Linked DNA regions of Coturnix japonica. The protein of the gene in region 2 binds, or shares a complex with, the protein of the main gene of each other region. Links are inferred from orthologs where the notes say so. Each region holds a gene or a part of one and is shown on either strand. Other genes may lie near its edges.

Region 1 (2,552 bases), on a different chromosome or scaffold from region 2:
AACAAAGTTCAGAAGAAATGTCATTTCCCACATAAATACGTTAATTTATTGTCCTTATTTAATTTCTCTCACAAGAGATCTTCATTCATTTTAGGCTACCACAACTTCCAACAATTTTTTTGCACTATTGTACTTGCAGAATAAATGAATATGGTTAAGAATAGAGGAATTTCTTAAATATATATATATGTATATATATATATATAAATGACACCCTTCATTTCATCACCTGTGTGGGCTTTTATTGCAGTTATCGTTTAAAGTAATCCTTTCCCCTTTTTGGAGGGGCAGCTATGTCTTTTTCATTCAAAGAGCCTACAGGAAACGTGAAAACACGGCTATACCTTGAAGGGGACAGTCACTACCACCCTCTATTGGTGCATCTGCCTCATCTACTCTGTTCCTTTTGATCTTGCAGCAGAAACCCACAGCTCCCGTGCAATGAGTACGGAGTCGGTACAGCTCTGACACCCAGCGGCCACTTCACTCTCGACCGGCTCCTGAATTCCAGACAGTTTCAAACTCGGCTTTGACTGATTGTTGCTTAGAAGATAGATAGTTTAGGGTATTATATTGTTTTATTGTTTTGACACTGCTTTGCATGGCCTTGGCTTCATAAGATGCTCATTTATGAAGAAGCGGCCTTGAATCATCTGGATTAGATTTCCGTGGGTTTCTTTGGACTATACAGCATTTACAAAGAAATAGCTTGAAGCATCCTCTCAGAAAATTGCTGGCTACGTGTCTTTCCTATTTAAAAGCAAATAATTAAAGTCAGCACTCCCATGTGACAGCATGTATTGTTCCACACTTATTAAATTTAACATGGATTTTAAAACTAGAGAAGAAAAACTGCTTATTTGATGAATAATAGAATGTATTTCATTCCCAACTTTGACCAAGTTTGATAGGTGATACAAATTATAATTTACAAGTTTTATATCTGATTATTCTATGATCAAGAAAGACTACTTATTTGATGAATCATAGAATGTATTTCAGTCCCAACGTTGACCAAGTTTGATAGGTGATACTAATTATAAGTTTTCTATCTGCTCATGAGTTTAATATCCACATGAAATATTACCCACATCAACAAAAGAAAAATAATTTCCAATGGTAACATTTGATCCTAGCTTAAACATAGCCCTTGTGCCTGCCCAGCTGCAAAGTTTGCCTTTGCCCACAGAATCATTAAGGTTGGAAAAGACCACTAAGGTCAAGTCCATCCATCAGCCCATCCCTGCTGTATCACTATGTCCCTCAGTGCCACGTTCAATTGGCTCTTGGACACCTCCATGGTCCAACATGTCCAATCTAGGACTACACCCCCCGACATGCCTTTATAAACCCGCATATTCTTCCCCCCCCCCCCCCTCATCCGGGATAGTCGGCGAAATCCCCCCCGCTCTCCGTTATGGGAGCGGAAAAGGATCCCTTCGTCCTGTGGCGTCATTTCCTGCCGCCATTTGACTTGCAGGGGCAGCGCCATGACGGACCGCTACACCATCCACAGCCAGTTGGAGCACCTCCAGTCCAAGTACATCGGGACGGGCCACGCCGATACCACCAAGTGGGAGTGGCTGGTCAACCAGCACCGCGACTCGTACTGCTCCTACATGGGCCACTTCGACCTGCTCAACTACTTCGCCATCGCCGAGAATGAGAGCAAGGCTCGCGTCCGCTTCAACCTGATGGAGAAGATGCTGCAGCCGTGCGGGCCGCCCGCCGACAAGCCCGACGAATCCTAACCCGTTGCCCTGCACACCGGCTCCGGGCTGGCTGTGACTCCACACGCCGCGGGGAGATGGTGGGAGCCGCCCCGATCCTCGTGTCCACCGAAGGGAGCTGCAGGGAGAAGGAAGCTCTGTGTAACGCCCTCTCTTGGACACTTTCGTTACGCTCAGTTGCACGGCTGTTCGCCCTTTGTGGTTTTTTTTTAATGGGAAATAAAATCCGCTGTCTGTTTCTAACGTGTTGTGTGGTAATCAACAATAGCAGGACACGGGGAAATGGTTTTAAGTTAAAAGAGGGAAGATTTAGGTTGGATGTTTGGGGGAAGTTTTATTCCTAATGGAAAATGTCAAAGTAAAGCCTGGCTAAGGTTGTATGTGAGTTTACCAGTGGCTTTTTTGAAGTTGGTGACCTCAGAATTTCTGAGCAATAAACGCCTCATACTCTTTACCAAGCCTTATAATCTAAGCTGCTGAAGATGCTGCAGTAAGAACAAGTGCATGCACTCCTGAGGTCACATTCAAGCCATAATATCCATCTGAAGAACTCAGGAATAGATTTTGTTGTTGCATGTACTACAATGAGGGCAAAGATGAAATGATCCTGAATCAAATGTAACCTGCTACATATGTGGGGACTAGTGCTGTTTGCAAGCCATTGTAAACAATGTGAGCAACAAGTGTAAGGCACATGGGCAGAGCTGAACGCCTCCTTCCTCCAGGCCATCTCTATTATATGAGCAAGGCTGCTTTCAGGGAGAAGTCTGAGTTTTGGCTGAGAAATTTGGCTTTCCACTGTGATCTCCATCTCATTTTCCT
Region 2 (3,757 bases):
TCAGTTTGACTGTTTGCTCTGTAAATGCAGGTGATAACACAACCTTAAAACAACATTAAAAATTCTTCATGAAGAATAACTTCTAACTCTTTAGAGGGTAAATTACAGCAGTATTGAACAAAAAGGAAGCAAGATGATCTTTGAAACTCAATGCATCACACAAAAGTACAAAGAAATCAAATCCATGTCCACTGTTTTCTAGACAACGCACTTTGAAATCCACCTCCAACGTATTTGCCAGCTACAGAAAGAAGCCAGAACTCTATTGTGCCTAAGAGGAGCTCTGTCATATAACAGCAGACAGGGTTTTGTCAGAAACATTTATTAAACAGAAGTTACCAACATATATGTAGACAAGTTAAGAGCCCCTTTAATAATAATAATAAAAAAAAAGCATTTTGGTCAAGACCAAAATTATCTTCGCTTCTGGAAGATGTTGCCACGACCCATACCACGGCCTCTTCCTCTTGCAGCCACTGAAGAAAGAAAACATCAGGGATGACATGAATTTGATGCAACACATTTATCTCAACAAGTGACAAACCAAACATCAATAACTCTCAGTCTCTTCCTTAGAAGCACAGAAGTTAAGCTACAGTATGAGGCCTGGGAAGTGATAAAAGTAAATAGAAGTTTTCTGTGAAAACAACTGTAACTAACAACTACACAGCTTTGCTATTCATAACAGAGTATGCATTAAGAGCAATGAAATAGTAACACACCATTGTTCCTACTTTAAATTGTGTGAATCTGTAGCCAGAGAGATTTAAGACCTCCTGCTCTTCATACAGCGTGACAGAACTCGCTATATTTTGTCAGATGTTACTCCCCCACACATCCTTACTGCATTTGGTAGAGTTAACCAAGGGCTTCAGAGCCCATGATTATTTCTTGATCTTGTTATAACGAGACTGTTCACACAAAAAAGGTATTAAAGAGGATGAACTGCAGAATGGCTAACAGTTACTCATTTAAAAAACTTAAAGTATCAACCAAGTGTACGTATATGTGTGTGTGTGTGTATATATATATGTATGTATAAATATATATATATATATATATAAATATATATATAAATATATATTTTTTAAGCTTAAGAATACTTAGATCATCATACTTTGGGTAATCCAAACAGGCAGCAACCACATTTACAGAAAACCAAAGGTGAAGTTTTACCTAACTCTAGCAAGGCCACTTACTGTTCCTGAACTATCTGCAGTATCAGTATTGTGCATCAGTCTGAGTTTTGACTGCTGTCACTCATTCAGCTTCTTACAGCTCATCTTTGCTTAGTGTTAGGGATGAAAACATCTCAGTTTCTGTACAGCAAAACAGGAAGGTAAAGAGGGAACACCAGACCACAAACACACTGTACCCACCCTGAGCTTTGAGAATAGCTGCTTTTCCTCGGCCAGCTCCAGAGCCCTGGTTCTTATTCTTCATGCTCTTTAGCATAGGAGCGTTCTTCAGCATATCTGGTAAAATGAGAAACCGTATCTTGCTGCCTCTGTACACCTGCTCAAGCTGCGCCACTCGCCCATCCCTGTATGTCACTGTTATGTTGGACATCTGGAAAGTAAAGATCAGACAGTGGTCTCAAACACAGTTTGTTTTAAGTGGCCTTAAACATAGTTTTGTACTCCCACTACTCCTGCTCATGGAATATATATATAGCCAAGATTCAAGTAATAAACTCAAAGCCCTATCAAGCATACAGCCTTCAACTGTTATTGTTATATAAGGCATCTATAACCATTTAAACACAGTCTTAAAGCTTGCTAAAATTTAAGCAAACTCACTATTTTCCCCTCCTCCCCACTTGCTTAATTAGTTTTATTAGTTTTGTTTTCTTATTCAGATAGTTTAAATAAAGTTTTACTGGTCCCAGCTATTAAGGACATTTTTATTTCAACTACAACTTGCATGAAGTTATCAAAATTAAGGCTATTGCAATGCCTTAAAGTCCTCTGCATTAAGCACAGCTCTAAGCTCATAAATTAGAGTTTATTTATTATCAACAGGCAATAAACAAAGAACTGCTGAAGAGAAGGTGCTCACAGAGGAACCAGGAACAGGAAATCCCAATTCTGAGCAATTTGGTGTGCTCAGTAATCTGGAATTCACTTCATTACTGTAAGTGCACAGAGTAAAAGGGCTTTATTTATCCTAAGACTAAAAGTAAAAGGTCTTTAAATCCCGCTGTCAGTCTGCTGAGTGCAACCACTTCCAAACAGATGAGATAAACTTCTTTTACCTGGCAATTCATGTTGTCCTCAGCCTCAATGAGCTTCCCACGATACACCTCCCCAGTGTTGGTCTCGCAGGTCACAATGTGGCCCTCTGCCTCGTGCAGGACTTTAATGGGCACCCCGATGGACATGGCTGCAACACTGCGGCTCTACTCCTGGGACAGAGAGCACAACATAGAAGTGAATAAAGGAAACAAACTCCCAGTCGTTCTGCAGTTCGGCTTTGCCTACAGGAGCCGATTTGCTCCATTGAACAAAGGCCTCAGTGCTTTGGCAATACACGCCTATCCCAAGGCCCGGCCCAAGGCTGAGGGCAGCCCACCCTCTCAGCCCACATCTGCCGCCCTACGAAGCTGCAGGCACATAACAAACCCCCACAACAGACCCACCCCATAACAAACCGACCCTATAACAAACCCCCACCGACACTCACCTCCCACCAACCACCCTAATGGCCGCCGCCTTCCCGCCGTGCACAGAGCCCCGGAATCGGAAGGGCACAGGAGCGGATCCTGCTACTGCTCCTGTCCCTCAGGGTCTCGCTGCCTTATCACGATGGTTCCGCTGCACTTTTGTTCCTCCCGAAGGCAGCTCCCTCCCTCCCAGCTCCGAGCAGCCGCTTCGGGGTCCGCCCCCTCCGCAGCCGGGAGGAGCCGTCGCCGCAGCAGGGCATGGCGCGGCCCTAAGTCCGGCGGGGCGGGTAGTGAGCGGGCGGCCGCCGTCATGAGGAGCCCCCGGGAGCCGGGGGAGCCCCCTCCGCAGGCAGGTCAGTGACAGCTCCGGGGCCTCGGATCGGGGGCGGCCTGTCAAGCACTTGGTGGAGCTGAGAGTGCTCCGCCTTGTTTACAGCCGCGGGTCGGGCCGTGACAGCTCTGTTGGGGGTGGGGATGAGAAGCGGGCAGCGCTGGGCCTGGTTGTTACCTTTGAAGTCATAGTGTATGGAGAACAGGGACATCCACAGTGAGTTGTGGTGTTAGAAGGCCCTGGATGGTAACAGAGAATGGACCTGCTCATAACACAGCTCATAACACACCGCCAATGCTTACATTACTTCCTTCAAGCGGGATTTGAGGGGCTGTTTGTCCTTCTAAAGTATAATCAACATTGCTAACAAACACTGAGTACACCAATGGGTGTGTGCCAGCTTTCAAAGTTATGATTAAACCCAGTGACGTGATTGAGAAAGTGCACCGCGTTGTTGCTGCAATAAGCCGTAACTCAGTGAGAAAACAGTTTAAAACTGCAAGACATTGTCCATAAAGTTTTACATATAAAGCTGTGTTGAAACTGCAGCAGCCCCCAGGATGCTGAATGCTTTTTATCCCCATCTGAAAGCAGAGCTGACTCTGTGTTAGCAAAGGTTTCCAAGGGTCTGTACCAGATCGAAGGTAAAGTCATTAAGAAAAGCCTTTTATGATTAACTCACTTGGATTGTCTTTGAAGTTACAATGCCAAGCGGAAGCACTTCAGTCCATCAAGCAATCTGGGCTTTGCTGAAACTGAAACCA
Region 3 (3,555 bases), on a different chromosome or scaffold from region 2:
ACCACTGTATACCAAGAAATCAATACTAATTTTATCCTTCTTTATTTTCCTTGTTTATTCCTCCCACTTCCACAGAAGAAATTAAGACTGGAAGCAAGCTTCAAAGACTAAGTCCAGGCCCCCAATGCAGGCAGGCTCAGCTGCAGCAGGCTCCCTGGAGCCATGTCCAGGTGGCTTCTGTGCATCTTCAACACCAAAGCCTCTACAGCCTTTGCAGGCAACCAACCCCTTCCAGCATTTTGCTGCCCTCACTGAGAAAGTGGGTTTTTTTTTTATGCTTGGACTTTATATATACGCATAGACATAGGAACCTCGGTTTCAATTTATAGTAAGGTTTTCAAACATTAAGCGTAAGCTTTCTTCTAACATTACTGGATGCCACTGGGGAAAGAGTCAGATTAAGGACAAGTCTTAACATGAAAAAAAAATCAGGGAAGTATATGAACATGTGTTTATATATTACCTTTCCTTTCCAAAAAAAGCAACTTATTTAAGTCTTTCAGCATTAAAATTAAAGGAACAGTGACAAGCAGAAGAATGGCAATATTCTCTTTAATGATGAAAGTATGGGTTTTGACCTTGCGTGTGTAACTTTTTTTTTATCCAGTCTACAGAACTAAACCCAAGGTTCTTTACAAACTCAGCCAACCTCTGAGATTTTCATGTACAGCCCCATATTTCAGTCAGTACATTTAGTTTAGGAGTCCTCAATGCTTTTGATTTAGAGACTCACTTTTACATTCAAAAGTTAAAGAGTAAAATGTGCAAGGCTTACATATCAAGAAACTTGCCACTCTCTAGACCAAACACTAAAACATTCTTATTGCTTTCCCTCTGTATAATACAAAAACAGATGCTAGAAAGTATTATACCTTTAACTTGGCTGCTTTTCCATTCCATGAACCCAATGCTAAACAGTAAAGCTAAGAGTTTTGAGAGGCATTTTATTTAGATAACTGAAAACAGTTAAACATTCAGAAGCAGTGTACAATGAAACAAAAACTGAATACTTTTAGTACATAATCCTCTTTTCAACTAAAGCCAAATCTTCCAACTTTAAAGGGAAAAAAAAAAATAATGGGTAAAAGCCATATTTTTTTTTCTTTCTCCGTAATAAAGAAAAACGCACTACAATGAGTCTAATTGAAATTGGAGAGACTGGATCTTGGCTTGCACACTTCTTTCAAAAGACAGTAGACAGTCATGCTAAAAAGATAGCAAAACTCTACTATTTGTCTTTTTTTTGGATACTCAGTTCTCTTACAGACAACACCTAGCCAGTTCCACTGCATTCTCGTCAATTACTGCCCATCTTTGCCTTATGTAGAGAGTGCACTCTGGAAGGCTGCTGTTTATCACTGCTCACTTGATTTAGTCTTGTATGTCCATACGTTGCATAACAGTTGAGATAATCACGCCTTGACTTCAGGAGTTGAGCTGTACACTGAATCTGAGTTTTCAGAGGCAACTTCTTCTGCAATGAAATAGAGATAATCAATTTATGTACATGAACCAAAGAATGCTGCAGTTATGTGCAGTGACCAGCTTAGTTTTCTTTTCCATTTAACCCAATTCAGGTTCTACCATATCTGTTAAGTTTGCAAGTGTGCCCCGGTAGGAAGTTTGCAAGTGTGCTCAGAGGTAGGAATGCTGCTTTGCAACACTGTGGCCCGGGTTCGAATCCCCCCTGTGGCGCAAGTGGTAGAAGTGCCACTGTGCTACACAGAAACTCAAATCTCGGGGGTTGGACTCGATGATCTCTAAGGTCCCTTCCTACCCGCACGAGACTATGAGACTATGATGATGATGAAGATCACACAGCTCAAGTCAGTATTTTTCTAGGAAACTGTGTGCTAAGTGTCAAAACACGCTCAAAGATCTTTCAAGGAATGAAAAATGCCTGAAGGTACTTGGTAAAAGTTAACTCTTCCCTGCTAAAGAAGCTGGCAGTTCAATGTTTTACCTATTTCCTCCTCTGCAGTTCCTGGAAGGCTGGTCCTTGCTTTTGCTGCTTCTGCATTCTCCTCTTCTGTAGAGAAGAAAAGAAATGGTTAGTCCCTTCACTTCTGCTCAAACCAGAGTGAAAATTGGGTTTCACTCTGAAAACCCAGAAAAAAAACCAAGAACCTCAGTTGTTTAGTGTTGAGGAGAAAAAGCTGGGTTACCAATTCTATCAACTATTACTCGTTTGCAGTTTTCTAAGTACTGCTTCCCCCTGAGCTCCTTCCCCCCAAAAATACTAGAGAAAGTACAGAGAAATTTTATATACTCCCCTCCCCACCAAATTCTTATATCCTAAGTATTCACAAAATTATTTCATACTTCTTGCTCTATAACATGAAGATTTGAGACTACACAAGCAATTTGTTACCAAGTGCCTATATTCATTAAGCTCACATTTAAATTGCTTAAGTGACAGCTACAGAAGTAAAACCTTAAATCCAGCAGACCTGAGTGGCTATGAAGATACCAAATGACAGCAGAGATACCGTAACAAGTTCAGATGATGTTTGAAACTGAATTCAAACTGTTAAGATTTCTGAATGAAACAGCCAAGTAAAACCAGGAAAAACAAAAAACACACACTTACCAGGAACTACACACTTCCAAAGACCATAGGTTTTTCCTACTGTTGTCTGCCACAGCCTTAGTGTGCCATCCTCTGAGCCACTGGCATATAATTCCCCGTCAGGGCTAAATCTCACACAGTGAATTGGACCAAAGTGCCCTTTGTAAGATTCTGTAAGAGAACATATTGAGGCCAATAATTTCAACAGCACAAATAAATGAGTGAAAACTGATTAGAAGGAGAAGAAAAAATGGATCGGGGGAACTTCCCTAGTACTTTATTTTTGATACAAAACAATATTTCTAATAATTGCTATCCCCACAACTTTCAATAAAGCGTTACTGTTATCTGAATTAGATGCAAGAAGATAAGCATTTCATTATTACAGGCAAAATTACAAAACAAGCCAACATTCTTCAGCTGCTTACTGAGCATTCATCTACGTAATTTTAAATGAAGATAGGAGCAACAGATTAAAACACACTTTAAAATAAATTTTACATGGCTAGCATTAAAATACAATCCAGTAACTGTGACTCATTAGACATAATTAATGAATGCCACAGTACGACATTTAAGTTAACATATAGTTTGCTATTGCAGCAGCATGGGATGACTCAACATTTTCCCTCCCCCCCCCCAGTAGCTGCAGAGCTGTTTAGTGGAGGTTTTAATTAGATCTTCAAGAGTAACATCAGGTATACTATCAAAGGACAAATCCTCTTAACTGACTACATACCTTTCCATTATCTTGTACTCAAATAAGTTCGCAGCACAGCATGCTCTACAAGTTTAATTCATTAGCTGCTACATCATCTATCTAATACTTGTCAAAACTTGTTTTTTATTATTGAAGTCAAACATACCTAATTCTTCTCCTGTGTTATAGTCATATTTATAGAGTTTAAAATCTTCACCACCTGCAACCAAACATTCTTTCTCTGGGTGAAGGGATGCAGAATTGATTGTAGCAGGTGCTTCAAATG

What was found.
Region 1: SNRPD3 (region 2) and SF3B5 share a complex: the UniProt entries of both Homo sapiens proteins name them as parts of the minor spliceosome. The link is inferred for Coturnix japonica from reciprocal best matches to the Homo sapiens genes SNRPD3 and SF3B5.
Region 3: SNRPD3 (region 2) and STRAP share a complex: the UniProt entries of both Homo sapiens proteins name them as parts of the SMN-Sm complex. The link is inferred for Coturnix japonica from reciprocal best matches to the Homo sapiens genes SNRPD3 and STRAP.

What each region holds. Positions count from the first base shown.
Region 1 is NC_029518.1:41,251,625-41,254,176, reverse strand, and holds SF3B5 (splicing factor 3B subunit 5), read left to right. Parts: upstream 1-1,437; 5' UTR 1,438-1,490; coding exon 1,491-1,751; 3' UTR 1,752-1,973; downstream 1,974-2,552. UniProt on the Homo sapiens protein: Component of the 17S U2 SnRNP complex of the spliceosome, a large ribonucleoprotein complex that removes introns from transcribed pre-mRNAs.
Region 2 is NC_029530.1:7,447,983-7,451,739, forward strand, and holds the start of SNRPD3 (small nuclear ribonucleoprotein Sm D3), read right to left. Parts: upstream 2,800-3,757; 5' UTR 2,683-2,799; intron 2,405-2,682; 5' UTR 2,381-2,404; coding exon 2,255-2,380; intron 1,570-2,254; coding exon 1,380-1,569; intron 477-1,379; coding exon 415-476; 3' UTR 1-414. Other genes in the region: protein GUCD1, read left to right, coding at 2,805-3,015. UniProt on the Homo sapiens protein: Plays a role in pre-mRNA splicing as a core component of the spliceosomal U1, U2, U4 and U5 small nuclear ribonucleoproteins (snRNPs), the building blocks of the spliceosome.
Region 3 is NC_029516.1:57,773,448-57,777,002, reverse strand, and holds the end of STRAP (serine-threonine kinase receptor-associated protein), read right to left. Parts: coding exon 3,436-3,555; intron 2,741-3,435; coding exon 2,591-2,740; intron 2,030-2,590; coding exon 1,964-2,029; intron 1,475-1,963; coding exon 1,413-1,474; 3' UTR 536-1,412; downstream 1-535. UniProt on the Homo sapiens protein: The SMN complex catalyzes the assembly of small nuclear ribonucleoproteins (snRNPs), the building blocks of the spliceosome, and thereby plays an important role in the splicing of cellular pre-mRNAs.